Linked DNA regions of Macaca mulatta. The protein of the gene in region 6 interacts with the protein of the main gene of each other region in a pairwise test. Links are inferred from orthologs where the notes say so. Each region holds a gene or a part of one and is shown on either strand. Other genes may lie near its edges. The genes, in order: CD79A, BCL2L2, SYNDIG1, BNIP2, SEC22C, FATE1 and TIMMDC1.

Region 1 (4,436 bases), on a different chromosome or scaffold from region 6:
TTGCTGCCATTGTGCAGGCATTGGAAGTGGGCCTCTTCCCCCAGGCTCACCATCAATGATGTTGGGCCCCCATCTACCCACAGGGCCTGGCACCCAGGACCTGTGGAGAGGCAGGGTGGGTGGGTCAGGGACTAGGGATGGCGACACATGCCCCCAGCCCTGGCCCCTGCAGCTCCAGCACTCCTGGGAAGAGGGTGAGGACATGCCTGGGTGAGGAGGGGAGGAGGGTGAGGACATGCCTGGGTGGGGGGGGAGGAGGGTGAGGACTCTCCTGGGTGGGGGGGGAGGAGGGTGAGGACTCTCCTGGGTGGGGGGGGAGGAGGGTGAGGACTCTCCTGGGTGGGGAGGGGAGGAGGGTGAGGACTCTCCTGGGTGGGGGGGAGGAGGGTGAGGACTCTCCTGGGTGGGGGGGAGGAGGGTGAGGACTATTCTGGGTGGGGAGGGGAGGAGGGTGAGAACTCTCCTGGGTGGGGGGGGAGGAGGGTGAGGACTCTCCTGGGTGGAGGGGGAGGAGGGTGAGGACTCTCCTGGGTGGGGGGGGAGGAGGATGAGGACTCTCCTGGGTGGGGGGGGAGGAGGGTGAGGACTCTCCTGGGTGGGGAGGGGAGGAGGGTGAGGACTCTCCTGGGTGGGGGGGAGGAGGGTGAGGACTATTCTGGGTGGGGAGGGGAGGAGGGTGAGAACTCTCCTGGGTGGGGGGGGAGGAGGGTGAGGACTCTCCTGGGTGGGGGGGAGGAGGGTGAGGACTATTCTGGGTGGGGAGGGGAGGAGGGTGAGAACTCTCCTGGGTGGGGGGGGAGGAGGGTGAGGACTCTCCTGAGTGGGGGGGAGGAGGGTGAGGACTATTCTGGGTGGGGAGGGGAGGAGGGTGAGAACTCTCCTGGGTTGGGGGGGAGGAGGGTGAGGACATGCCTGGGTGGGGAGGGGAGGAGGGTGAGAACTCTCCTGGGTGGGGGGGGGAGGAGGGTGAGGACTCTCCTGGGTGGGGGGGGGAGGAGGGTGAGGACTATTCTGGGTGGGGAGGGGAGGAGGGTGAGAACTCTCCTGGGTTGGGGGGGAGAGGGACAGCCCCTGACAGGGGCTGATGCATCCTGGGGAGAGGGGGATGCGGGAAAGTGAAGAGGCCCCTGGGGAGGGAGAGAGGACAGAACTGGTTGGGGTGGGTGAGGACATCCTGGGGGAGGAGAATGAGACTCCCTGGGATGGTGAGACCCCTGGGAGGCCCTTCTCACCTCTGCAGCGCCATCTCTTGCCCCCCTCCCACATACCCACTTTGTGCTCTGGGCCCTGTGAACTCTCTGGATTTTGGATGTTTGTTCAAGGCACTGGAGGACCGCTGTCCAGACAGCTCCTTCCAGAAGCAGTGCAGGCATCCCCTCCTCCCGCAGCCTTCCCGGTCTATTTTTGCACCCCAGCCTCAGCCAGGCCCTGCACCTTGCGCTTTTTCTTGTGTATTCATTCACAGAACCCTAGAAGTAGGTTATCTCCTTAGCCCCATTTTACAGGAGGGATGGCTGAGGCCCTGGGAGGGCTGGCGGTTTGCCAGCATCACCAGGCAGTCAGGAGTGGCACTGGGTTCAAACTCATGGCTCCCTGGCCTCTCCCTGCCTGGGCTGAGGAGCCAGTCTGTGGCCTGCCCTGGCCTGTGACCCTGTGCCTGGCCCTCATTCTCTGTAAGTTGTATGTGTCAACTCAGGGGTGAGTTCAGTCCTCGGGCTGGATTGCTGGTGAGCGAAGGGGGTCAGAGCGGGGTGGAGACTGGGGGTGTCTCTGAGTGAGACCGGGCTGCTCAGGCTGGCTGCAGTGTCCAATCTGGGCTCCTCTGGGAAGTCCCAGCTCTCAGCCAGGCCTCCCACATGGCCGGCCCCCTCTTCTGGAGGTAGGCGGAGGAGGGAAGTGAGGAAGAGAGAAGGAGGAAGAGGTGGGGAGAGGGGCCGAGCACCCTTATCATCATGGGCTTAAGACTCAGACGTGAGCTCCAATCCTTGCTCCCAGTGTCCGCTTGGGTGGGGAACCTTCTTCTCTGAACTCCTGGGTTAGCGTGGCCACAGCCCCTGCCAGCTGTCCTTGAGCGGGTGAGGAGGAATCTATGAGACATCTGTTCCCCCAGTGCTCAGAAGGGACTCCCAACACAGAGAGGCACCTGAGGTTTAAGGCAGATAAAGCTTTTTCTCCCCTTGACAGACGCTGAATGCTACTACCCTCAAGTCCCCTTCCTGTCCCCAGCCCTCGTGCTCAGTCAAGAGCAACTTTAGTTCCTTATTTTGGCCTGTGGGGAGCAGGAGGTGGGGGAGGTGACTCTTGCTCCTGCCTGCCTCCGTGAGGCTGTGGACGCCCCTTCTTCACTGGGCTCCCTCCAGCCCCACATTGGCCCAGCTTGGCACAGATACGATTTCTATAGGCATCTTCCCTGGCTCCCCTACCCTCTGCCTCCTCTTCCCCTTTCCCTGAGCCCCCTTCCCTCTGCCTGTGCCCACTCTGCAGCCTCCACATCTTCCCCCACCTCCCACCAGTTCCTGCCCTTTGGCCACATACCCAGGTAGGCAGCAGACAGCAGGAAGAAGAGGAAGATGGTGGCAGGCAGAGCTTGGAGGACTCCTGGACCCCCAGGCATCTTCTCCTAGTGGGTTGGTTAGTTTGAGTTGCAGCAGTCCCCGGGTACCAGATCCCTACCCCAAACCCCACCCTACTTCCTGCCCAGCCCCCCGGAGATGGGCTCCAGTGGCCCTCGCTGCTGGGCCCTTTACTTGTTGGGCCTGGGGACAGCCCCTGCCGGGTAGGCTTCAGGCTGTGAGTGGAGAGGAACTGCTCCCTGCACCTGTGGTGGCCACAATTCCCCTGAGAGGTGGCTGCTTGGGTGGGGGAAGAGGCTGGTTCAAGGGCTGGCTCGTCACTGCTGAGCCTTTGGAAGGAAGCCTAGGGAACCTGAGTCCTGGGCATGTGCTGTGGGCAGGTGATGGTTCTGAGCTTGACCTCTGCCCCTGCCTGGACTTGGGGAAACCTTGTCCCTTCCCTGACCCCATTTCCTTGCTTCTTGATTAGAAACAAGGACTTAAAAGGGGTTGTTGCATGCACAGAAATGGCCCATAGTAGGCGCTCAGTAAATGTTAGTCACTATAAATGCTCATGAAGAATAAATAAGGCAGGCTGACCTGTGGCTGAGTACCCGTGTGACTAGGTGGGCACTTTTATCCTTTGAACCTTGACATTTTTCATCTGTGAGATGAGGACCAGAATGTCTCCCTGTCTCATTATGTGATATGAGATGGTGTTTCTGGTATTCCAGGAGTTAGAGCCACGATCAGCTCTTTACTGGAATTCTTTGTTAAAAAACAGGCCAGGTATGGTGGCTCACGCTCAGGCCAGGTATGGTGGCGGGAGGTGGGGAGAGATGTGGAGGCTGCAGAGAGGGCACAGGCAGAGGGAAGGGGGCTCAGGGAAAGGGAAGAGGAGGCAGAGGGTAGGGGAGCCAGGAAAGATGCCTATAGAAATCGTATCTGTGCCAAGCTGGGCCAATGTGGGGCTGTAGGGAGCCCAGCGAAGGAGAAGGGGCGTCTACAGCCTCACGGAGGCAGGCAGGAGCAAGAGTCACTTTGAGAGGCTGAGGTGGGAGAATCACCTGAAGTCAAGAGTTTGAGACCAGCCTGGCCAACATGGTGAAACCCCATCTCTATTAAAAATACAAAAATTGGCCGGGCGCGGTGGCTCAAGCCTGTAATCCCAGCACTTTGGGAGGCCGAGACGGGCGGATCACGAGGTCAGGAGATCGAGACCATCCTGGCTAACACAGTGAAACCCCGTCTCTACTAAAAAATACAAAAAAAACCTAGCCGGGCGCGGTGGCGGGCGCCTGTAGTCCCAGCTACTCGGGAGGCTGAGGCAGGAGAATGGCGTGAACCCGGGAGACGGAGCTTGCAGTGAGCCGAGATCCGGCCACTGCACTCCAGCCTGGGCGACAGAGCGAGACTCCGTCTCCAGAAAAAAAAAAAAAAAAAAAAAAAAAAAAAAAAAATTAGCTGGATGTAGTGGCACATGCCTGTTATCCCAGCTACTCAGGAGGTTGAGGCAGGAGAATCAGTTGAACCCAGGAGGGGGAGGTTGCAGTGAGCTGAGATCACACCATTGCACTCCAGCCTGGGTGACAAGAGTGAAACTCCATCTCAAATAATAATAATAATAACATATATTTTTCTTCTTTTTTTTTTTAGAGAGATGGGATCTTGCTATATTGCCCAGGCTGGTCTTGAACTCCTGTCCTCAAGCAATCCTCCTGCCTCGGCTTCCCAAAGTGCTGGGATTACAGGCATGTGCCACTGCACACAGCCAGAAGTTGTTTTATATTGACCTGCCATGACTGGGCAAGGTAGGCCATCCCCCATTTTACAGATGGGGAAACTGAGGCCAGAGAGGGGAGGTTGTTACTTGCTGGTGTCATA
Region 2 (4,318 bases), on a different chromosome or scaffold from region 6:
ATGTCTTTGGGCAAATCACTTAACCTCTCCAAACCTCAATTTCCTCATTCATAGAATGAGGATAAAACAGCATAAGGATTAGTGACAGGATAAAATATACATGTAAAAAAAGCACAGCATCTAATAACTCCTCAAAATATGTTTTTACTTTTTTTTTTTTTTTGAGATAGAGTCTCGTTCTATCACCCAGTCTGGAGTGCAGTGGCATGATCTCAGCCTCCTGGTTTCAAGCGATTCTCATGCCTCAGCCTCCTGAGCAGCTGGGATTACAGGCTGGCTAATTTTTGTATTTTTAGTAGAGATGCGGTTTTGCCATGTTGGTCAGGCTGGTCTCAAACTCCTGGCCTCAAGTGATCCACCCGCCTTGGCCTCCGAAAGTGTTGGGATTACAGGTGTGAGCCACCAAACCCAGCTAGTTGTTACTATTATTGCTGCAGAAAAGACCTTACTTCTCAAGTGACCATAAGGGCAGATGGTAATACAGAGGCTTGGTTTGGAGGTAGAAGCAAAGGGTACTAGCAGAAGAGGAGAACTGGGTCGCCTCTTTCTGGCCTTTGGTTGGGTTGCTTTTTAAATGGAGCTGAAGAAAGTGCCAGATCCAAGAGCCCAGGGGGCTGGCTGTGAGTGCTCTCATGTGGATCAGCTGTGGTCAGATTGCTTCACACCTGTGACCCGCCCTGTATAAATATACTGCCATGTATAAATAATGGCCCCATGTATATGTAATCTGGAAGGATAAACATCAAGCTTAACAATGGCAACCTGCAGGGAGGGAAGTGGAATTGGGTGTGTATGTGTGTGTGTGTTTGAGAACCTGTATTTTATTACTCCATACCTCTTTATTGTTTGATTTTTTTCACAATGAGAATTAGTTCCTGTGTTGGGTAAAAAAAAAAGAAAAGAAAGAAAGAAAAAAAACCACTAAAATCAATCTGATTACAAAAGAAGATGAATTAAAGAAAAGTACCGGAAGAAACTGCTTGTGATCCAAGTCCTGGCTCCTTGATGCCTGGCTGAAGCCCAGCCCACAAAGACAACACTGGGTTAAAGGTCCTGGAGAAAAGATGGGAAAGGTTTGGTGTCTGTGTAGTGTCTGCTAGTCCCAAAAGGGTAAGGCACCTAGTAGACGGTTCCCAGCTTAATGGGAACTGCTCCTGTTTTCCAGGCACACAATTCAGGGCTGGAAAAGTTCAACAAGTGCATGGAACATCGGAAACCTCCTGGAAATGCTAAATTTGCCCCAAGATGTCCTGAAGTCCGGCATATTTCTCTGGGCAGCCTCGAGGCTCAGGAGCCCAGCCCAGCCCAGCCCACCGTGCCCTCTCAGGCAGCCCTTCACTGCCTTCAGCAGCCCTCCCTCTTCCTGAGTAGTGGCCCTTCGCAGGCCTGCGTCCCAGCCCCGCCCCTCTCTCTGGACGCATCTTTGGGCCCCATCATCACCCGGCGCCGGGCCCTCCCTCTGCCCCCCCTTTCTCCTCCCTCCTTCCTTCCCTCCCTTCCTCCCTCTCTCCCTCCCTCCCAGCTCCTGCACCAGGAAACGGCCCGGATCCCGGCAGCGGCCTGACCCGTGAGATCCCTAACCTGGCAGGCGGGCGGGGTTGGAGACTGGCTGAGGTGGGGGTAAGGGAGGAGTTGGGCCTTTGGGCTGCACTAGGGGGAACCGCGAATACAGATGGTGTCGGCAGGAAGCCCTTGGCCCTGGGTTTCCCGGGAGGACAGTCATTAAACATGGATTCGGCCACACAGCTGGTAGAGCGTTGGGGGCAGGGGCCCAGGCCCAGAGCTGCAACCCTAGCCGTTCCCAGGCCAGAACCTGATCCCTGGCCTTCCCCTCCTGGTTCTGATCTCCCCCTCCCCTTTCCAGAGCTCCACGCTGGCCGGGAGGATGAAAGGCCCCAGCTGGGGGCTCCTTGCCACCAGTGCTGTGTCTTAAGAGCTGCCATCCCGGCTGGGTGAGTGTCTCCTTCCTTTCTCTGTCTGGAGTAAACCATTGCGTCTCCCACCTTTCTCTTCGGCCCATCTGCTCCCCCTCATCTTGTGCCTCTGCCAACATCTTTATATCTTGCATTTGGGGAGGTCCTAAGCCCCTTCCTCTAGCCAAGGAGGTGTGGACTAAGGAGGCCCAGGGGTGGGAGGGTTGTAGGGGTGTCACAGAGCTGACGTTGTCTTATTATGAAAAGAATCTAAAGTATCTCTAAACAGAAAATGTACTTGTTTTAAATGTAATTTGGCATATTAGGAATGTAATGGCCAGCCCCTCACAGCCTGGTCTCATATCATGACTTAATTCCCTTGTTCTTGCCTCTCCCTGTCCAGTGAGCTCTGAGCATTTCTTCTCTCCTCCTCATCTCACTGGGTTGGTCAAACCAGAAATGCCCCTTCTGATTCTCTCTCCATATATTCATGCCAGTGTTTCATCCTTGCCTCTTATAGCTGCCCGGATGGCGACCCCAGCCTCGGCCCCAGACACACGGGCTCTGGTGGCAGACTTTGTAGGTTATAAGCTGAGGCAGAAGGGTTATGTCTGTGGAGCTGGCCCCGGGGAGGGCCCAGCAGCTGACCCGCTGCACCAAGCCATGCGGGCAGCTGGAGATGAGTTCGAGACCCGCTTCCGGCGCACCTTCTCTGATCTGGCGGCTCAGCTGCATGTGACCCCAGGCTCAGCACAGCAACGCTTCACCCAGGTCTCCGATGAACTTTTCCAAGGGGGCCCCAACTGGGGCCGCCTTGTAGCCTTCTTTGTCTTTGGGGCTGCACTGTGTGCTGAGAGTGTCAACAAGGAGATGGAACCACTGGTGGGACAAGTGCAGGAGTGGATGGTGGCCTACCTGGAGACGCGGCTGGCTGACTGGATCCACAGCAGTGGGGGCTGGGTAAGAAGCTTCTCAATTGCCGCTCTGCACATCCCTCTGCAAAGCTGGTTTCCAGGGGGAAGATGGGAGCTCTGATTGGAGACTGAGGCAGCTATGTTGGGAATGAGGTGCGGGGCTGAGTCTCCCCGTCTGGGTGGAATCAGATTGAGAGATGCCTGGACTCTGCACTCCAGGGCTGCCATGCAGTCAACACTGGATGGGCTCATGGTCCCAAGCAGAGGACAGAATCCACACCCAAGGAGTGCCTGCAGGGGAATGTTGTCAGGGACTTTTTGCACCTGAGTCATGGTGTGGGAGGTGGGGAGGACCAGGGATGGGTGGTGGTCAGGCAAGCCTTGGCAAAGGATGCTAGTTCTGAGCAGAATTTTTCGCCAAGGAAAGGATGGAATTCACTGGAGGCAGAGTGGGCGGCAAATGAACCAGTCTCTCAGGGTGGGGGTGCACCTGGGGGGATCAGAGGGGCTTGCAGCCAGAAGAGCTTTGACCAGAGAGGAGCTGGGTATGGGGTAGTGTTGGCAGTGGATGGAACTGGAACTCTTCCTCTCCTCTTCTGTCCACTCTTTCCTCTCCTGATATCCCTTTCTCCTTCTTTCTCTCCTACTTCCCTTCTCTCCCACAGGCGGAGTTCACAGCTCTATACGGGGACGGGGCCCTGGAGGAGGCGCGGCGTCTGCGGGAGGGGAACTGGGCATCAGTGAGGACAGTGCTGACGGGGGCCGTGGCACTGGGGGCCCTGGTAACTGTAGGGGCCTTTTTTGCTAGCAAGTGAAAGTCCAGGGCCAGGTGGGGCTAGGTGTGGCTGGGGGCCAGGAGAGCAGGAACAGAACAGAGAAATGCCCTTGGAAGAAATGGAGTTGGTGGATGGGTGGGCATGGAACAGGATGGGCAGGGGAAGGGTAGTGTGTGAGGCAGCTGAGTAGGCCAGGTAGGCGATTGGAAGAGTGAGCAGGACACATAGGTGAGGGAAATGTTTTGGCAAGTTTAGGGACGCAGGAGATGGAGTCGATCCAGGGCTGGGGGATGTGGGAGGGATCACACCTATAGGTGTGGGCACATGAAATGACCTGGAACTTGGTTTGCAGCCCTGAGGAAGGTGGACTTGCATAAGCAGTTGTATTCCATTAGATGAGTGGGATTTGGGGAACGCAGAAGGCACATCCTTTTGGAATGGAAGCTTGGGGGTTCTCAGGTGATAGGGAGAGGTGGCTGTAACAGTGGGCTGCTTGGACACACGTGTGCATGTGCACGCATGCTGGTGTGCATGCTGGGCTGCCTGGCAAATCTGGTGGTGGTGGGATTCCTCAAGGAGAAAACATTCCCTCTTGCAATGGCAAGAACTAGGGGCAGTTCTCTGTCCCTCCTCCCAACCCCTCCTTTCCCCTGCCCTTGTCCTGATGCCTCAAGGCTTAGAGAGAAACATTGTATCCAGACCGAGGGCTCTGCTG
Region 3 (3,754 bases), on a different chromosome or scaffold from region 6:
GCCGGTTCTCAGCAAATTCTGAGTGGCAAACTGTAGAGAGCACCCTAAGAGACCAAGCTGTGCCTATCTCAAGATGCCTCAGTAGCAGATTCGTGTTTGGGACTTGACACCTCAAGATCATCACTAAGTAGGGATTATTGCAATCACATAATTTCCTGCTTGAATGAATAGCCATGTACCTGGGAAGAGCTAATCCCCATTACAGATTTGCAGTTCTGTTTTCCTATGGACTTGTCGGATGCTAATGTGATTGGGTTTACCCGTGGGTTTCAGGATGTCTGCTAGCAATCAAAGGTTCCTCTAGGCTGCAAGGGAGCCAGCTCCTGCAGTCTCCTTCATTTGGAAGCAGAGACTTTATAGAGATTCAGGTAATCAGTTTCTGCTACCTCTGGCTAGCCACCCCGACAGATCCTTTTTAACATTCACTGAATAGGTAGGACTGCATTTTGTCTAACTCTCACAGTTACTATGCATTTATCAGCTGATTGGTACAGTCTGAAACAATGTGGGTCTGGGTGATTAGCTTGTTTTTAAGTGTGATTCTCTTGTCTCATCTCTGTTTTCTCCTCCTCCAGGAGAAATGGGTTCCCTGAGACAAGTGTGACCTACGTGCCCAGCCCGCCAGCCTGACGCCTAGCCAGAGAGAGAGGACCATGGATGGCATCATTGAACAGAAGAGCATGCTGGTGCACAGTAAAATCAGTGATGCTGGCAAGAGGAATGGCTTAATTAACACCAGAAACTTGATGGCCGAGAGCAGAGATGGTCTGGTGTCTGTTTACCCAGCGCCCCAGTACCAGAGCCACCGGGTGGGGGCCAGCACAGTGCCGGCCAGCCTGGACAGCAGCAGGAGTGAGCCGGTGCAGCAGCTGCTGGACCCCAACACCCTGCAGCAGTCGGTGGAGTCCCGCTACAGGCCCAACATCATCCTCTATTCAGAGGGTGTGCTGCGTTCCTGGGGGGATGGTGTGACCACCGACTGCTGCGAGACCACCTTCATCGAGGACCGATCGCCCACCAAAGACAGCCTCGAGTACCCCGATGGGAAGTTCATCGACCTCTCAGCTGATGACATAAAAATCCATACCCTGTCCTACGATGTGGAGGAGGAGGAGGAGTTCCAGGAGCTGGAGGTTAGAGGATGTGTTTGTCAGAGGCCCTCTAGGAATGTGTGATGGGGATTCTAGGGTGGGCAGGAGCCATGAATGCCTATACACTGTAGCCCAGAAATTAGGGAATGAAACTAGTGTGCAAAAATGCAGAAACCAAAGGCAGTCTTGGTGCCCTTCACTCTTGAATGCTTGTGGAAGATAGAAGGAGAGGAAAGACTTAGATTAACAGAAAGCCAGTGATTCTGGTATGAGATGACCCCAGGTAATGGCTGTCAGATGGGGCTGCAGAAGGCAGTGCTGGTGGGTTCATCAGTTTTCCCTGCTGTCCCTCATCCCATGAGACAGAGAGGTCATTGACAAGAGGAGGGAGGAATGCTTGATCCCAGAGCCACATGAGGCTGGAAATGTATTGGATGGGAGACACTTTGGGAGGTGTTTCTGCTGTCACCTGTGGTTCCTTGACTTTGCATTCCACAGTTACTACTGAGAGATTGTTGATAGAGCTGAACCACGCTGGAAGAAAGTGTAGGTACTGATAGCCTAAAGGGAAGATAAGCTGACTTTTTTAGAGGACTGGAGGGCAGGTGACAGCATTTGAATTACACGCACAGAGATGTGCACATTGCACATTGGATATAGCATGGTAGGCACAGTGGTTGCTGGGTATGTGGCACACTGGCCCCCTAGGGCAGCACTGGGTGACAGGGTGAGAGCAGCGGCTACAGGCCATGGACTAGTGGTTTGCTGCCCATGCGCTCCCAGACTTTCCGCTGCAGTGAGGCCAAGGATGTTTTCCCAGGACGCGATGTCAGGGAGACTTGGGCCAGGTTTTCCGTCAGTTTGGTGGGGGAGGAAACCGCCGAACAGGTCCGACCTTCAGAGGCAGTGTGTGGCCAAAGGGGGAAGGAAGGGATGTCTGTTTTTCACTAAGGTAGGTGAGAACATTTTTGTAAGTAGAGAGGAAATGTTCAGAATGGAAAATTCAGGATCGCGGCCGGCGGCTGGGGAGTGGTCTTGGGGAGGCAGGAGCTGTACTCCAAGCATGTATGTGTGAGAGATGGCCTCTCAGAAGAAGTCCACGTGCTGGCCTGGGAGAGAAGAGAAGGGTGGGGTAAGGGAAACTTTCAAGCGCTCTAGGTTGAAGAGGAAGGAAAGGAGGGGTTCGTGTTGGCTGAGTATCAGCAAGCCAGAGAAGCTCTTGGGGTGTGTTGGGGTGTGGGGAGATTGCAGACAGTCTAGAGCAGTGATCTGGGGGAAGTGCCCATTCTAGAAAAGACTTCTGGAGAAACTGCCCAGTTGCAGTATGAGTTCGTGTGAAGATCTGGTCAGACCCAGGGCTCCGTGACTTTCTCCAGCCGTGTGGGACCATCTTTAGCAGGTGAGGCTCTCTTGGCAAGGTGTACTCTGCCTGGAAGGTGGAGGAGGCAGGAGAAAGCAAGAGGGAGGAAGTTTGGAGCCGAATCAGACCCACAACCATGGGACCCACGCTTGATAGAAAGGCCGGAGAAATTGCAAGGGAGTGGCAGGTCAAGGAGACCAGAGGATCAGGATTGGAGACCTCAGTGAGAACTAGGAGCCAAGAGATCCGGCTTTAGTCAGGAGGGAGGATCAGCAATGGAGAGGGAAACTTCGGTGCAGCCCCAGCCAGTGGAGCCTGGGAAGCCCACTGGCAGGGAGTGGAGAGTCGTAGCATGGAAGAGGACCAAGATGTGATGCCTGGGCATCTGCGGAGGTCCTAATGCCCTCTGGTGACCCCTGTAAAGGGAGGGTGCTCATGATGCAGCTGTGGAAAGTTGGGAGCATGCTTGGCTTCTGTTCAGAAGCCTCTGTCCCTGTCTACTGTTTTGCAAGATCTGAGGGCTTTGCTGACAGCGAAATATAAATAAATACTGCCCAACCCGCATGGAGTGGAATTAGGGAAGCGAATGCACGAAAACGCAGCCCCAGGAGTTATGGGAACGGAATACCCCATCAGCTCTGAAGAGGGGCTAGGGCCCTGAGCTCAATGCAGGGTTCAGAAGTCATCACACAGGCAGGAGCCCTCCCCCGGCTATATCTTGAGGATGAGTAAGAGGAGGCTTGAGGGGAGCTGGCAGAGAAATTCCAGTCCAAGAGGACCTGGGGAGCACAGAGGCAGCAGCTCCAGAGATCTGCAGGGAAGAGGAACTGGTCAGAAATGCGGAGGCCTATGGGAAAGACGGGGAGGAGACAGGTTGGAGAGGGAGGGGGTTCCCATCAGCAAGGACCTTATCAGCCACCTAAGGGAGACTGGATTTATGCAGAGTCACAAACTCAGATACGTGTGAGACAGAAGGGACCCACCAAAGAGTCAAGAAGGAGCCCTGGGAGGGGGGGGCCTGGAGCCTGGAGAGCCAGGCCCCACCCAGAGCATCTGTCCCCTCTGCTTCAGGGTCACTGCTGTGCCCCACCACACAGGCCGTGTTGCTGGGAAGCCTGAATAGATTTGTTAGAGTAACCAAGAGCCAGAATGCACCAACATTTAATCCACAAGACAACACAAAGTGAGCAGGATGTCATGTGGAGGACCTGGGAATCGCAGGAGGAGGCCTTGGCACCTGCACGTGACCATGCAGGTCCATGGAAGGGTCTCATGCAGAAGGGCTGTGGTCAGATCTTGATCT
Region 4 (3,754 bases), on a different chromosome or scaffold from region 6:
CATACAGTAGGTTTCCCCCTCCCCCCATCTTTTGGTAAGGACTATAATACTGAAATTTTGAAAATTATTACTACATTAAAAATCAGCTAAACTGCAATCTCAAAACATAAATTACACTTAATCATTGGTGCTTATGCTTTGGCTAATGCTAATTTAAATAGACTTCTGCATGTATACTTCAAAATATTATACATACATTTCTGCTTTATAAAACTGATCAAATGAGAAGTGATCACTGAGTAGTTAACCACTTCCTATCTGGTATTACAGTTAATTTATGTGCTCAACAACAACAAAATTGGCTCCCAGATAGCTACTTGAAGTAACCTATAGTCATAACTGCCAGGGAGAATATTGTCACAAGTTGAATCTGGAAAGGCATTGTAAGGCACATGTACTAAGATTTTGATGACTCTATGAATTATATTTTCTGAACTTGTGGATATATGATATAAACCACTATGATTAGGTGGTTTTTGCTAAATTGGGCAATAAAAAAAGTTAACCATGATTTCCAAAGACATAAAATGGCCTCATGTTAAGAATAAGCCTTTTCCTGCATTATGGAAGAGATATTTAAAATTGCACAGATGGTATAATGAAAATTCTCTGTAAAATCTAGATAGTAAAGTGGTTAACGTATAATTTGATTTTTATTGTGTAACAATTGGTGATTGAAAAACTTTTTATTTTGACAGATGATCTTCCAAAACCCAAGACTACTGAAGTAATTAGGAAAGGCTCAATTGCTGAATATACAGCAGCAGAGGAAAAAGAAGATGGACGACGCTGGCGTATGTTCAGGATTGGAGAACAGGACCACAGAGTTGATATGAAGGCAATTGAACCCTATAAAAAAGTTATCAGCCATGGGGGTAAGAGTTACTGAACATTTTTCAAATTGTTTAATGTGGTATCAGAATTCTCAATAGTTTTAGAAACTCTGCCTAGAGATATTACGTAATTTTGAAAGAATAATAAGCATTTATCATATCATTTTAGAAACATGATAGGTTTGAAGTAAAAGAAGAAAAGTACCATTTTTTTCTCTTTTTGCTTTTGAGATGGAGTCTCGCTCTGTGGCCCAGGCTGGAGTGCAATGGCGTGATCTTGGCTCACTGCAAGCTCCGCCTCCTGGGTTCACACCATTCTCCTGCCTCAGCCTCCCGCGTAGCTGGGACTACAGGTGCCCACCACCAAGCCCAGCTAATTTTTTTGTATTTTTAGTAGAGGCGAGTTTTCACCGTGTTAGCCAGGCTGGTCTTGATCTCCTGACTTTGTGATCCACCCGCCTCAGCCTCCCAAAGTGCTGGGATTACAGGCGTGAGCCACTGCGCCCAGCCAAAAGTACCATTTAAAAATGATTATATACCTACACTAAGTTGAAAAAGTACAAAAGAATTTGTAGTGAAAACTGTCAGGTTGGGCATGGTGGCTCAGGTCTGTAATCCCAGCAATTTGGGAGGCTGAGGCAGGAGGATTACTTGAGCCCCGGGGTTTAAGACCAGCCTGGGCAACATAGACCTTGTCTCCACCAAAAAAAAAAAAAAAAAAAAAAGCCAGGAATGGTGGTGTACGCCTGTAGTCTCAGCTACTTAGGAGGCTGGGGTGGGAGGAGAGAGAGCTCGAGCTTGGGAAGTTGAGGCTTCAGTGAGCCGTGATCATGCCACTGCACTCCAGTTTTTTGTTTTGTTTTGTTTTGTTTTTTGTTTTTTGACCCTGTCTCAAAATTTTAAAAAGAAATTTTTTTTTAGCTGTCTCTAGGCTACCCAAAACTGGGACTGTACTTTCTCCATAATTTATAAACAGTGAAATGCCCTGATCTTAAGTGTACAATTCAATGAGTTTTGACAAATGCCCATATAACTGTATATTCCCATATATATAACCCACACCCCTAAACATATAGAACATTTTCATTGTCCCAGAATAATTCTTTAATACCCCTGCCCAGTGAATCCTCACCTTGGTAGCCACTGTCATATCTACCGCCTGATTAGTTTTACCTGTTCTAGAATTTCATATGTAGTAACTGAAATCATCCTGTACACTCTTTTGTTTACTTTTCAGTATGAAGTTTTGGAGATTCATCCATGTCGTTGATGTATCCACATTACATTCCTTCTTATTGGGGAGTAGTTTTCCATTGCATGGATAAACCATAATTTGCTTATCCATTCTTTTTTTTTTTGATGTGCATGTGAGTTGTTTCCAGCTTGGGCTATTATAAACAAAACCGCTTTGAGCATTCTTTTAGAAGTCATTTATGGATATAAGTAAAACTTGGACTTTTTTTTTGTTTTTGAGATGGACTCTTGCTCATCACCCAGGCTGGAGTGCGGTGGCGTGATCTTAGCTCGCTACAACTTCTGCCTCCCTGGTTCAAGGGATTCTCCTGCTTCAGCCTCCCGAGTAGTTGGGATTACAGGCGTATGCCACCACCCGAGCTAATTTTTTATATTTTTAGTAGAGAAAGTGTTTCACCGTATTAGCCAGTATGGTCTTGATCACCTGACCTCATGATTTGCCCACCTCAGCCTCCCAAAGTGCTAGGATTACAGGCTTGAGCCCCTGTGCCCAGCCCTAAAACTTAGACTTTTTAACCTTAACTCTTAATGTGCCTTAAAATCCTGAACAAATTTTTTTTTTCCTTTTTTTAATTTTTTTGTTTTGTTTTGTTTTTTGAGACGGAGTCTCGCTCTGTCACCCAGGCTGGAGTGCAGTGGCGCAATCTTGGCTCACTGCAACCTCTGCCTCCTAGGCTCAAGCAATACACCAGCCTCAGCCTGCCAAGTAGGTGGGACTACAGGCACGCACCACCATGCCCGGCTAATTTTTGTATTTTTAGTAGAGATGGGGTTTCACCATATTGGCCAGGCCGGTCTTGAACTCCTGACCTTGTGATCCACCCGCCTCAGCCTCCCAAATTGCCTGGATTACAGGCATGAGCCACAGCGCCCAGCCCAAATTATTTTTTAATAGAGAGCTCATTCACTCCACATTTTTATAGAGTACCCACTTTCCATACTTATGGGATATACAAAAATACAAGGCTTAAGTCCCTTCCCTTAAGAAACAGGAAAAGCTATAAAAGTTTAAGTTACAAATCCTGTGAATCTAACAGTACCATATATAGAAGTTTACCTAGGCACATTGTAAATAGTGCTAGAATGTTAGTGGCAAGTCAGAACACAACTCACTGTAGAGCATGTCACACTACCTTAAATCCTCCTAACACAGGACAGAGTGGCACATGGGTCAAGCAGATTGATTTTTTTTCGGAGTCATTTCCACTTAATTTACCACTTACTTTAATGCCAGATGCATTCCCCTGCTTATTTCTACAGTCTTCATTCATCTGAAAGCAAATCACATGAATATTTGTAGTTGCATTCTTCTGCCTAATTTAATCATACTCAGATGAAGAAAATGGCATAATCTGGATCAGGAAGTCCACAGACGTATATTATTCAGCTAGTTCACTGGAATCAAATTATAAGGCCTGATTTATGGCTTCAATCTCTTTCAGAAATAGCACTTTTTTATAGGGGAAAATAAGACCACCTTATCTTACTGCATTATCACACTTAATATATTTTGTGACTGAGTGATTAAGAAAGGTAGTGAAGATTCTGATGTTCTTGAAATGTTCAAATCTTTTCAAATGCAAATTTGTAAACAATAGAAATGAAGGTTAAAGCAGAAGTATTTGCTACTAAATATGGGCTTAATATCTAAAGAAAGCAGTTGAAAC
Region 5 (4,377 bases), on a different chromosome or scaffold from region 6:
AAAAAGAGAGAGAGAAGGCAACCAAATTTTTAGGATTATCTCATTCCTTTGCTCAAAACTCTTTAATATCTTCCTACCTCACTGAGTCAGTCCTACAGGCCCTTTCTACTATTCTCTTCCCTCTTCTACTCCAGCCACACTGGGCACCTTGCTGTCCGTCAAACATGCAAGTACAGTCCTCTATTGTTTAATAACCAGGACGGATTCTGAGAAATGTGTAATTAGGCAATTTCATCATTGTGTGAACATCATGGAATGTACTTAAACGCACCTAGATGGTACGGCCTACTACACACCTAAGCTATATGGTCTATTTGCTCCTAGGCTACAAACCTGTACAGGATGTTACTCCACTGAATACCGTAGGCAACTTTAACACAATGAAGTATTTGTGTATGTAAACATAGGTAAACATTAAAAAGTTACACAAAAAAAAGTATTCTATATAAGACCACTGTTAAGAGACAGAAATGTCATTTGGCGCCTGACTGTATACTACTTCTCACCTCAGGGCTGTGCTGTTTCCCTCTACCACGAATGCTCTTCTTAAATATGGCTCACTTCATCTCTTTCTGATACCTGCTTAAATGTCATCTTCTCAAAATGGCCTTGTCTGACCAACTTATTAAAATAGTATCCCAACTGCAAGTCACTGTTTTCTTCCTAGTTGTCTGTCTTCCCCCCAATAGAATATAAACTATAAAAGGAAGAGTGGCCTTTGTTTTATGCGCTGCTCTATCTCCAGACCCTAGAACAGTAGCAGGTTCTCATAAGAATATGCAGAACAAGATGTTGCACAGTGTATATATATGCCTCCAATTAAAACTTCTGTCACAGATAACAAAAAAACCTAAGAAAACAGTTTGAAACCCTGCACGCTCTGCTACTTAGAATAAAGTAACTATGCTCTAGAAGGAAATGTTTCATTTTCAAAAAAATACACTTTAACAAATGGCTGGACTCCCAAAAGACAAAACAGTAACGCTAAGTGCATGCATGCTGCAATTCTGCTGATACAGAATGCTCTGGTTTATCACAAAGGACGTTCATTAAGCCATTTTCCCAGGAACCACGAAATTCTAGCTAAAGATTCTTAAGGAAAAATAGAGGCAGCGTTAACATTAAAGTAGTGATATATCGTGATTAGGAAACACACATTTCCTACTAGTTGAAACTTCATGGCACCAAGCAAGATAACCGGAAATCGGATCGGAAGTGTCTGCCCCACGGAGACACTGGGAGAGAAAAAGTCCTCAAAGAACTGCACCTCCTTTTCTTGGCGCCAGGCTGGCTACTAGGACTCAGTCCGGAGATGCAGGGGGCGGTGTGGGGTTTGGGAGGAAGAGGCCTGGACTGCGAGTTTGGGGTGTGCCCAGGCCACCTTCCTCTCCCACTGATTTTCTCTCAAGAGAAAATGGAAAGTTGACTGCGCCTCCTACCCGCTCCCAAAAAGGACGGGGGGAGGGTTACTGAGGGTAGACCCCTCCCCTTCGCCTAGGCAGGCCTCGGCCCCAGCAGCGCTCCCCAGTCTCCAGCTCACCCGGCTCCCGGTTGATCTCGATGTCGAAGTGGCACTGCGGCCGGTCCTGCGCCCCCATCGCGACCGAGGTGGCGGCAAGAGCTGGGAGAGAGGGGGAGGAAAGCGGTCAGGGCAGGGGCGAGGGCGGGGGCGAGGGCACGGGCGAGGGCGGGGCTGAGACGAAGTCCGCGCCACGGTGCCTCACGCCGGCCCGTCGCAACAGCGCAGGAGGCCAAGACGAGGCCCCCTCCCGCCCCAGGCCTCGCGGCTCCCACGCAGCGCGTACGCATGCGGGCGAGCTCTTCACCTGGCTGGCCTCCAGCCTGAGCGGGTCCCAGTGAGCAGAGGAGAAAGCACTGCCACTGCAGCCAGACCCCAACGCCGCTAACGGAACGCCACCTCCTCCTCCGGGCCCGGCCTCCCAAAGCCACGCTAAATCCCGCGAGAGTCGGGACAAATACCGCGAGAGTACAGTCTAGATGGGGGTGGTCAACCGGAGGTGGTGGCAGCGGGGGCGCACGCTCGGGGGCGTGTCTGGGGAGCTCTCGAGGAGCCTCCAGCCGGCGCTCCTATACCTGCGCGCTCCCTGTTTGCCCCCCCGCTTTGAAGTCAGTTGCCCAATGTGAAAGCCGTGGATGCGCCTGCGCCCTCCGTCTCGTCCGGCTGTGAGCGTCTGCGGCATTTTCGGATACCGCCAGACTTCCCTGTTTCTGAGCGCTGTGAAGGAGCTGAGTGAATTGAGGCTTTGAGTTTTCGTTAGCCAAGAGGTCGTGTCACTCTGTGTTCCTGTTGGCCGGGGATGGTTATGTCCGTGTCCTACTGTTAGGTCTTTTAGGCTGAGGAATGTGTTCCTTCCCGCTTTGGCACCAGCGTCACTGGCACCGTTTCTGTTCTGTGCTTACTGGCCATTCTGCATCTTTTCTGAAGTTTCAGTTCCAGTCTTTGCGCGTTTTTAAATCTGGTTCTTCGTGTTTAGCAGCTCTGGATACAAATGTTTTGTTAGATAGATATATGTATGTTCTGAATAAAAATCTTTTGTTACATAAATGATTGCGAAGTCTTTCTCCCAGTCTGGGCCTGTCGTTTCATTGTTTTGAGTATGTTTTTGGCAAAGTTGTTTTTAATTCTGGTGAAGTCAATCTTTTATGGTTTGTGCTTTTTCTGTGCTAGGAAATCTCTGCCTACCTCAAGTTCGTGAAGATATTCTGTGTTCTCATATATGTTTTACATAGTCTTTTACGTGTAAGTCTATGATCTAATAGCATTAATTTTTGCTTATGTTGTCAAGTGTCACATTTTCCTATCGGGATATACAGTCGTTCCATTACCATTTGTTGAAAAGACTCTTACACATTGAATTACCTTAGCCTTGTGACCAAATTTGTGTGGGTCTATTTCTGGATTTTTGTTCCAATGATCTGTGTATCAGTACCACACTATCGTTTAAGTTTTTTAACTATAAAATATACATTACATTACAGTTGCCATTTTAACCATTTTTAAGTGTACAGTTCACTGGCATTAATTGTATTTCACACGGTTGTGCGACCCTCAGTACCGACCATCCATCCACAGAACATTTTCCATCTTGCAAAACTGAAACTCTGTATCCATTAAACAGTAACTCCCCATTTCCCTCTTTTCCCAAGTTCCTGGCAGCCACCTTTCTACTTTCTCTCTGTAAATTTGTCTACTCTAGTATCTGCCTACTCATATTTGAGTAGAATCATACAATATTTGTTCTTTTAAGCTGGGCGCGGTGTCTTACTCCTGTAATCCCTGCATTCTGGGAGGCCTAGGCGAGTGGATCACCTGAGGTCAGGAGTTTGAGACCAGCCTGGCCAACATGATGAAACCTCATCTCTACTAAAAATACAAAAAATTAGCAGGACGTGGTGGCGGGCACCTGTAATCCCAGCTACTCAGGAGGCTGAGGCAGGAGAATCGCTTGAACCCAGAAGGTGGAGATTGCAGTGAGCCGGGATCATGCCACTGCACTCCAGCCTGGGCAACAAGAGTGAAACTCTGTCTCAAAAAAAAAAAAAATTGTTCTTTTGTAACTGGGTGATTTCACTTAGCATGTCTTCCATTTCATCCATGTTGTAGCATGTCAGAACTTCCTTTTTTGAGGCTGAATAATATTCCATTGTATGTATATATCATATTTTGTTTATCCATTCATGTGTCAGTGGATATTTAGATTGCTTCTACCTTCTGGCTATTGTAAATAGTGCTGTTATGAGCGTGGGTGTACAAATACCTCTTTGAAATCTGCTTTCAATTATTTTTTGTATATGCCCAGAAATGGAATCACTGGATCATAAACTAATTCTATTTAAGATTTGTCCAGGAATTACCATAGGTGAAAAAAAGGATGATAACCAATGCAGGTGTGCTATTAACCAGCTACCGCAGTTGCTGATTGGAACGTAATCCTGCTGGGGAACTCTGGGAACACATACAGAAGAAACATGTCAGGATTATCCCACCTGAGGATATCTCTTGAGAGTCCCTGGTTGAGAGATGCTCCTGGGGTGATAATCATTAGGTTCTTCTGGCCTGCTACACCTGGGCAAAGCAGATTTCCAGTTTTAGGAAAATATCCTCAAGAATAGAGATGCAATATGGACAGTTGGGATTCAGCTGGAGCACAGTTAGAGGAATAAAGTTCAGTTAAGTTAAAGTTCAATAAATGAAAGTGAAATGCTGATAGCTTCTGCCACAACTGGCAAGTCATTTTGTTGTTTGCAAACAAGGGAGTGCTTAGGAATGGAGAAACGCAGACGTTTTCTGACGTACGGGAAGCACTTGATAATTTCCGTGTGGAATTCCTGCAGCCTCCATGTCTGGATGATCAT
Region 6 (2,558 bases):
TACCATGCATCTTTGGGAAGTAAAGGCACCTCGCCAGGCCTCAATGGCCTGGGCTGCCAATCAAGGTTTTACGTTCTCCTTCAGTAGGTTGCTCAGCCTCTCAGCTAATACCTGCATGTGAAAGTTCTTGCAGAGGACAGAGACCCCTGTCACTGCTCTTCTTTTGCCACAGCCTGCCTGGATGACCAAGAGCTACCGAGGAGCATGGTGCGGGTGGGGTGGTGGCCAGCAGCCTGTGTGGAGTTCCCAAGCTTTCCTAGAGGCCTGAAGCTGCCAGCCCTTGATTCCAGAGACCAGGCACCATGTGACTCCCCATGGGGTGCACCATTGGTTCTGGGCAAACTGGGGAAGCCACTCACGTGGGGCTGGGCAGGCTACTTTACTGATCATTCCTTTCTTCAGGGGTCCCAGCTGCCAATGCCCAGAATGCTGAGAGAATCAGGCCATGGGGATGCCCATCTCCAGGAGTACCCTGGCAATTTCCAAGGCATGCGTTTCCATTATGATCGGTAAGAGCTGAGGGTCTGTGGGCCCTGGCTGCTCAGACAGGGCCCAGAGTGGGGCGGAGGGGCTGGTGAGCAGCTTGGCCAGGACGGAGTCATGAGGGCCTGGAATGCCTCCCTGTCAGAGACCATGAGCACCCTGGCTCCCTGCCCATTTGGGGCATCCCAGTGCTCTGTGGGCTAGCCGAGTTGGGCTGGGCCAGGCTGGGCCAGGCTGGCTCAGGCTAGCTCAGGCTGACTCCCAGTCCTCAAGGCCCTAGGCCCTCTTTACCATGGGAGAGGACTGGAGGCTCATAGTCACTGTCCAAGAAGTTCCTGACCTTACCTGCTTGACCTCATTGCCTTCTTGTGCTCACTGCCAGGTCCTGCCGGGGCCACCAGCAGCTTTGACCCTCTGTCTTTTTTCTCTCCCAGCAACCCAGGTACAGATGCAGTGGCACAGACTAGCCTGGAAGAGCTCAATGTACTGGAGATGGAAGTCATGAGAAGACAGGTGAGGAGGGACCCAATTGGTGGGTGCAAGCAGAATCACAATGCCTTGGAGTAGTCAGGGCTCAACATCTGGGGTCTTGTAGCCCCTTACAGTCATCTTTCCCTTTAGCGCTGGAGGTAGGGCAGATTCCCTTCCTTTTCCTCCTCATCCCCATGGCTCTGACCCAGGTAGATGTCCAATCTCAAACCTACTGCTGTCCCTGAGATGCTGGCAGGGAATAGGGGCCGATAAAAGGTAAAGGAAGAGGGAACATACAAGGATAAGTGTTCTATGTCCAGAGAGAGAGTGATACCCAACAGTCTGAGAGAGGGGTCGCCTTTGTTCAAATCAAACCCAGACCTTCTCAGGAGGAGACCCTTCCTCCCTTGGCCCCCCGGAGCAGCTGGAATGGGCTGGCCTCTTCCAGAGAATGGAAGTGAGCATCAAGGGAGAAGGCAGAAGTAGCGACTGCAGACGCAGCAGCCAAGTCTTTGGTCCAGCGGACCTGGCCCAGCCCCCTGCTTCTCACTAGGGGCACTCCCCGCTCCACCGCCAAAGGGCAATCAAGCCCCTTCTTGCTTTAACTTTATGCTTTTCCGATGGCTGAGCTGTGGGCTTCTGGAGAAGAGCCTGGCTCAGTAGTCCTCCCTTTGGCTCCTCTGCAGCTATATGCAGTCAACCGGCGTCTGCGCGCCCTGGAGGAGCAGGGCGCCACCTGGCGCCAGAGGGAGACCCTGATCATCGCCGTGCTGGTGTCAGCCAGCATAGCCAACCTGTGGCTGTGGATGAACCAGTGATCGCCCCCGCGCGGCCTCCGTATTGGAGCCCTCCCTGCTTCCCCTTCTTTCTTTCCTCTTTCCCTGGGCCGCCATTGCCCATCCCCCTTTTATCTCCCAGCAGCCCTCAGGCAGCGTCAGGGTCATTTTCAGCTCTGGTTAGGCCTCCTACCTGGGGAGGTCAGGTCACTGCATTGGGAGGTCCTGGCTGCTGCGAAGGTGGAGGAGGACTGCATGGGCTGAGATGCCATCCTTTGAAGGGTGAAGAGCATGGCGGCATCTGGACGCCACAGTAACACCTAGTGGCAACCTTGCCTTCCTGACCTCAGCGGCCCTTCTGTTCCATCCTCTGTGGGCAGGGGTGTGGCTTTGTTTTCCTCCCTCGTTTGCTTCCACCTCGTGCACAACGCTCTGCGCAAACATCATGCTCAATAAAAGTTCCGCCATAGCAGCAAAACTCTGTGGCTGAGGTTCCTGTGTCCAGCACTCATTTGGGGCAACAGTGGGGTTGGGGTGCACTGAGGAACAACAGCGCCTCTTCACAAAGACCTTGTGGCTGGGACTGAGCCTCTGCCATTGCCCCAGGTGCCCTGGTTTCCTCCTCCCTTTCACCTTCCCCGCCTCACTGTCCCCAGCCCCAGCTTTGCAAAGTTCTTCCTGTTGGGCTGATGCAAATGGGTGCTTGTGGGTGTGTGGTTCTGGGAGCATGTCTGGACTGTGTTGCAGGGATGCAATCAGAGGAAATCTCCTGAAAGGGACCAGAAACATTCTCATTTGCACAAGAGGAAATTGAATTCCAGAGGGAGG
Region 7 (4,233 bases), on a different chromosome or scaffold from region 6:
CAGAATAATTCTGGGGTCATCTTATGCATTTAGCTTTTTCTACATATGGGTTAGAAACAGACTGTACAGCCATTTTCTTGGGCTTCCAAGCTTTGCTAACTTATCTTGGTGCCTACTTCTACCTAACATGAGATAAGCAGCAACCCAGAGCCAGAAGTCAGGGAATCTAAATTATTCATTCAACAAATATTTACTGAGCACCTACTACAGTTCTAGGTCCTGGAGATACAGAGATGAATATATGTGGTCTGTGACCTCAAGGATAGTTTATTGAGACGGATGAACAAATAGGAAATTATGATGCAGTGTCATAAGTGCCATGATGAGTGCTGAATCAAATATTGTATCCCAGAGTAGTCTTTGTAGCGCCGTCACTAATTCAGCTGGTCACTCTAGTCAGCCACTTCTCGGAGACTTGTGTATAGAATTTCCAGCTATCAAATTCCAGAAGTCTGTTTACTGTATTCTACTACAGTGTGGCAATTTTGATTTACAACTAGAAAGGAATAAAGGAGGTGAAGGGATTGGTAAAATGAATAAGGGAGCATGCTTGTTAAGGATTGAATGAAATTACACGAATACTGAAAATATTTTAAATGCATTCATTTTAATGAAAACTATACTTCGAAGCATGTTAGCAGAGGTTGTAGTGACGGCAAATTATACAAACACAGAAATTCCAGAAATTCTCCTGCCTTTTGAGAAGCAGTAGGCATATGAACTAAAGGGAGTGAAATCCACCTTATGAAGAGCTGCCAAAAAGCTGATTCTTCAAAAAAGTGTTCTCGAAATCTTGGTGTAACTGGCACCAAGACCCATCCCCTTTACCTGCACAAATCGCCTTTCCCTCTTTCCCTATTCCACTTGCACTGAATATTGCACTTTCTTCCTCACTGAAGCGGGATTCCTGGCTTTTTTTTTTTTTTTTTTTTTTTTGAGACGGATTTTCGCTCTTGTTGACCAGGCTGGAGTGCAGTGGTGTGATCTCGGCTCACTGCAACCTCCGCCTCCTGGGTTCAAGCGATTGTCCTGCCTCAGCCTCCCAAGTAGCTAGGATTACAGGCGCCCGCCACAATGCCCAGCTAATTCCTGGCATTTTAATTACGCTAAATTACTTCAACCTATGACCACCTCAAGCTGAATGTAACTAGCCGCAGACGCTGTTTGCATGACCCAGGAACCACTAAGACACGGAACGAACGCCTGCCGGCACCACGCAGAGCTTCACTACCCGCAGCGAACTCACTTCCGTGGTGGACTCAGCACAGCAGTGGCCCGACCCCCCCTCAACCGGAAGTCTTTTGGGCTCCGGCTTTGCCGTCGCCCGGCCCCCTGGCCTTTGCCCCGATTGGGCGGGACTTCCTGTGTCGTATTTCCAAGGACTCTAAAGCGAGGCCCAGGACTGAAGGCGTTGGTGTCGAGCCCTCTGGCAGAGGGTTATCCTGGGCCAAATGCACGGATTCTCACCTCGTACAGTTACGCTCTCCCGCGGCACGTCCGGGAGGACTTGAAGTCTTGAAGGCTCAATTTGTCCGTAGGTCGAGAGAAGGACATGGAGGTGCCGCCACCGGCACCGCGGAGCTTTCTCTGTAGAGCCTTGTGTCCATTTCCCCGAGTCTTTGCTGCCGAAGCTGTGACTGCAGATTCGGAAGCCCTTGCGGAGCGTCAGAAGCGGCCTCTCTACGTCCCAGAGCCCTATTACCCGCAATCTGGATGGGACCGCCTCCAGGAGCTGTTTGCCAAAGAGTAAAAGTGCCTGGGGTCTGAAGTGGGTAGGGGGACGCGAAAGCGATGTCCTGCAGCGTTGGCAGCCTGGGTCAGCCTTAGGACGCCAAGTGTGCTTCATTTTTAAATTATATTTAAAGGTTCTGATATTTGTAACCCAAACTTGTATCTTTTTTTTTTTTTTTTTTTTTTTTCCAGACAGGGTCTTGCTCTGTCGCCCAGGCTGGAGTGCTCTGGTGCGATCTCGGCTCACTGCAACCTCTGCCTCTCGAACTCGAGTGATCCTCCCACTTCAGCCTCCCGATTAATTGGGACTACAGGCGCGCGCCACCACGCCCGGCTAATTTTTTTAAAATATATTTTTTATAGACAGGGTTCTTACCATACTGCCCAGGCTGGTCTTGAACTCTTGGACTTAGGTGATCCTCCTACCTCAGCCTCCCAAAGTGCTGGGATTACAGGCGTGAGCCACCGCACCAGCCCAAACTCGTATTTTTTTTTTTTTTTGAGACTGAGCCGTGCTCTATCGCCCAGGCTGGAGTGCAGTGGTGCGATCTTTGGCTCACTGCACCCTCCACCTCCGGGGTTCAAGCGGTTCTCCTGCCTCAGCCTCCCGAGTAGTTGGGATTACAGTTGCCCACTACCATGTCCAGCTAATTTTTGTATTTTTAGTGGAGACGGGATTTCACCATTCAGCAGGCTGGTCTCTAATTCCTGACCTCACGTGATCTGCCTGCTTTCGCCTCCCAAAGTGCTGGGATTACAGGCGTGTGCCACCGTTGTTGGACTGAGCCCGGCCTAGAAGGGAAATTATTTTATAGTAACTTAATACTTAAGACAGCTATTTGTTAGAGCAGTTTCAGGATGACATCTTGGAAGCTTCATTAGCAGTTCTAGCTTCTTATGCGTTTAAGAGTAACAAACTGAATTAAATAGTAGCTTTTCCTTATTATTTTAGATTAGCATGTGCCACCCACTGCATAGTGAACTTTCTCAGTGCGTTTTTTAAAAAACATATATTTATTTGTTTATTTTTAGAGCCAGGATCTTTGCTACGTTGCTATGCTGTCCAGAACTGGGCTCAAGTCCTGCCTCAGCCTCCTAAGTAGCTGTGACTACAAGCATGTGCCACTGTGCCCAGCCCAGTGCTTTTATTAATACAGTCCTATCTGAGTATTTCATGAAATTATTTAGTAAAATAGAATTTAGATTTTTTGTCTTAACGTCCACGTTTTTTTTTTCTTTGATACATTGCCCTAAAATCTCACGAGTTGGTGTGATTTCTTAAAGTTAGCTTAAGATTTAAACGGAAATATTGGTCTATCTAACTCACAAATTCTTCCTGTTTCTAGGGGTGTAATAGTCATCAAATAAAAGCACCTTTTAAAAAACTTTTTATTGAAGTAGGAAATGCGTTTCAAAAAATGTACATAAGTAGACTGATGAATGCATTTTCACAGACTGAACATAGCTGTACCCAACACTCAGAAGGAAACGGCAACTATTATCACATCCCAAAAGCTCCCTTTGTGCCTTTTCCAGTCATTGTCTTTTCAGGAGTTGCCACTATCCTAATTCTAACAGCATAGCTTCGTTTTGTCTGAGACTTACGTTCCTTTTAATATAACTGAACTGTTTAATTCATCTGCGGATTCTACCTATGATGAAAAATGTTGTGGTGTTAGCATTCGGGATAATTCTGATTATAGATTCTTTTGGAGAGCAATGTCCATAAACTAATCCCAAACAACATTGTCTTTTTGATGTTGTAGTGAACAGCAGAGAATTTCAAAGGAACTTGCTGATATCTGTAAGATGGCAGCTACAGCAGGCGTCCTCGGCTGGGTGTATGGGGGTATACCAGCTTTCATTCATGCTAAACAACGTTACATTGAGCAGAGCCAGGCAGAAATTTATCATAACCGGTTTGATGCTGTGGTATGTACTGGTGGTCTAAAGAAATTTAGGGCACACTGACTTAGCAATTCACTTTACACTTAATCATTCAATTAGCTTGTGGGGATGGAGGGTTGTTTTAAAGTGTCAGAGTAAAGAAATAAAGTCTATACTTAATAACAGTGGAAGTACTAACATTAAAGTGCCTGCATGTGGCTTGAGACTACTTTCTTATCTTCAGAACAGACATGTTTGGCATCACCACTGTGGCTTTTCTTTCTGAAATATCTTTCTTCCAATCCCCTGCTAAATCATCAAGGCTCAACTGTAACATATTTACCTCATTCACAAAGCCTCCCTGAGTATAGGAGCTTACACTAAGACAATAGTTAACATTTATAACTTTATAGAGTGCTAACTCATTTGTTACATCATTAGATCTGTACATCAGTTCTATGAGAATATTAAAGCTCAGAGAATTTTTAACTTTTTATTTTGAAATTATGGCAGGCTTGAAAGTTGCAAAAATAGTACAAAGATTTCCTATATAACTTTCATCCAGATATTCCACTGTTAACATTTTACCGTATTTTATCATTCTTCCTCTGTATA

The links.
Region 1: the proteins of FATE1 (region 6) and CD79A interact in binary tests that used the Homo sapiens proteins (3 or more experiments, as listed by UniProt). The two-hybrid records come from large-scale screens. The link is inferred for Macaca mulatta from reciprocal best matches to the Homo sapiens genes FATE1 and CD79A.
Region 2: the proteins of FATE1 (region 6) and BCL2L2 interact in binary tests that used the Homo sapiens proteins (3 or more experiments, as listed by UniProt). The two-hybrid records come from large-scale screens. The link is inferred for Macaca mulatta from reciprocal best matches to the Homo sapiens genes FATE1 and BCL2L2.
Region 3: the proteins of FATE1 (region 6) and SYNDIG1 interact in binary tests that used the Homo sapiens proteins (3 or more experiments, as listed by UniProt). The two-hybrid records come from large-scale screens. The link is inferred for Macaca mulatta from reciprocal best matches to the Homo sapiens genes FATE1 and SYNDIG1.
Region 4: the proteins of FATE1 (region 6) and BNIP2 interact in binary tests that used the Homo sapiens proteins (3 or more experiments, as listed by UniProt). The two-hybrid records come from large-scale screens. The link is inferred for Macaca mulatta from reciprocal best matches to the Homo sapiens genes FATE1 and BNIP2.
Region 5: the proteins of FATE1 (region 6) and SEC22C interact in binary tests that used the Homo sapiens proteins (3 or more experiments, as listed by UniProt). The two-hybrid records come from large-scale screens. The link is inferred for Macaca mulatta from reciprocal best matches to the Homo sapiens genes FATE1 and SEC22C.
Region 7: the proteins of FATE1 (region 6) and TIMMDC1 interact in binary tests that used the Homo sapiens proteins (3 or more experiments, as listed by UniProt). The two-hybrid records come from large-scale screens. The link is inferred for Macaca mulatta from reciprocal best matches to the Homo sapiens genes FATE1 and TIMMDC1.

The regions. Positions count from the first base shown.
Region 1 is NC_133424.1:52,914,505-52,918,940, reverse strand, and holds the start of CD79A (B-cell antigen receptor complex-associated protein alpha chain), read right to left. Parts: upstream 2,836-4,436; 5' UTR 2,615-2,835; coding exon 2,536-2,614; intron 101-2,535; coding exon 1-100. UniProt on the Homo sapiens protein: Required in cooperation with CD79B for initiation of the signal transduction cascade activated by binding of antigen to the B-cell antigen receptor complex (BCR) which leads to internalization of the complex, trafficking to late endosomes and antigen presentation.
Region 2 is NC_133412.1:96,405,853-96,410,170, forward strand, and holds the start of BCL2L2 (bcl-2-like protein 2), read left to right. Parts: upstream 1-1,515; 5' UTR 1,516-1,749; intron 1,750-1,864; 5' UTR 1,865-1,952; intron 1,953-2,433; 5' UTR 2,434-2,441; coding exon 2,442-2,873; intron 2,874-3,492; coding exon 3,493-3,642; 3' UTR 3,643-4,318. UniProt on the Homo sapiens protein: Promotes cell survival. Blocks dexamethasone-induced apoptosis. Mediates survival of postmitotic Sertoli cells by suppressing death-promoting activity of BAX.
Region 3 is NC_133415.1:59,586,898-59,590,651, reverse strand, and holds part of SYNDIG1 (synapse differentiation-inducing gene protein 1), read left to right. Parts: intron 1-575; exon of another isoform or gene 576-578; 5' UTR 579-653; coding exon 654-1,133; intron 1,134-3,754. UniProt on the Homo sapiens protein: May regulate AMPA receptor content at nascent synapses, and have a role in postsynaptic development and maturation.
Region 4 is NC_133412.1:36,997,474-37,001,227, reverse strand, and holds part of BNIP2 (BCL2/adenovirus E1B 19 kDa protein-interacting protein 2), read left to right. Parts: intron 1-698; coding exon 699-875; intron 876-3,754.
Region 5 is NC_133407.1:105,947,125-105,951,501, reverse strand, and holds the start of SEC22C (vesicle-trafficking protein SEC22c), read left to right. Parts: upstream 1-1,524; 5' UTR 1,525-1,540; coding exon of another isoform or gene 1,541-1,598; 5' UTR 1,599-1,645; intron 1,646-1,826; exon of another isoform or gene 1,827-1,919; intron 1,920-4,377. Other genes in the region: NKTR (NK-tumor recognition protein), read right to left, coding at 1,541-1,598. UniProt on the Homo sapiens protein: May be involved in vesicle transport between the ER and the Golgi complex.
Region 6 is NC_133426.1:157,958,141-157,960,698, forward strand, and holds the end of FATE1 (fetal and adult testis-expressed transcript protein), read left to right. Parts: intron 1-402; coding exon 403-509; intron 510-917; coding exon 918-996; intron 997-1,640; coding exon 1,641-1,772; 3' UTR 1,773-2,029; downstream 2,030-2,558. UniProt on the Homo sapiens protein: Involved in the regulation of endoplasmic reticulum (ER)-mitochondria coupling. Negatively regulates the ER-mitochondria distance and Ca(2+) transfer from ER to mitochondria possibly implicating it in the regulation of apoptosis.
Region 7 is NC_133407.1:164,222,496-164,226,728, reverse strand, and holds the start of TIMMDC1 (complex I assembly factor TIMMDC1, mitochondrial), read left to right. Parts: upstream 1-1,377; 5' UTR 1,378-1,552; coding exon 1,553-1,746; intron 1,747-3,497; coding exon 3,498-3,663; intron 3,664-4,233.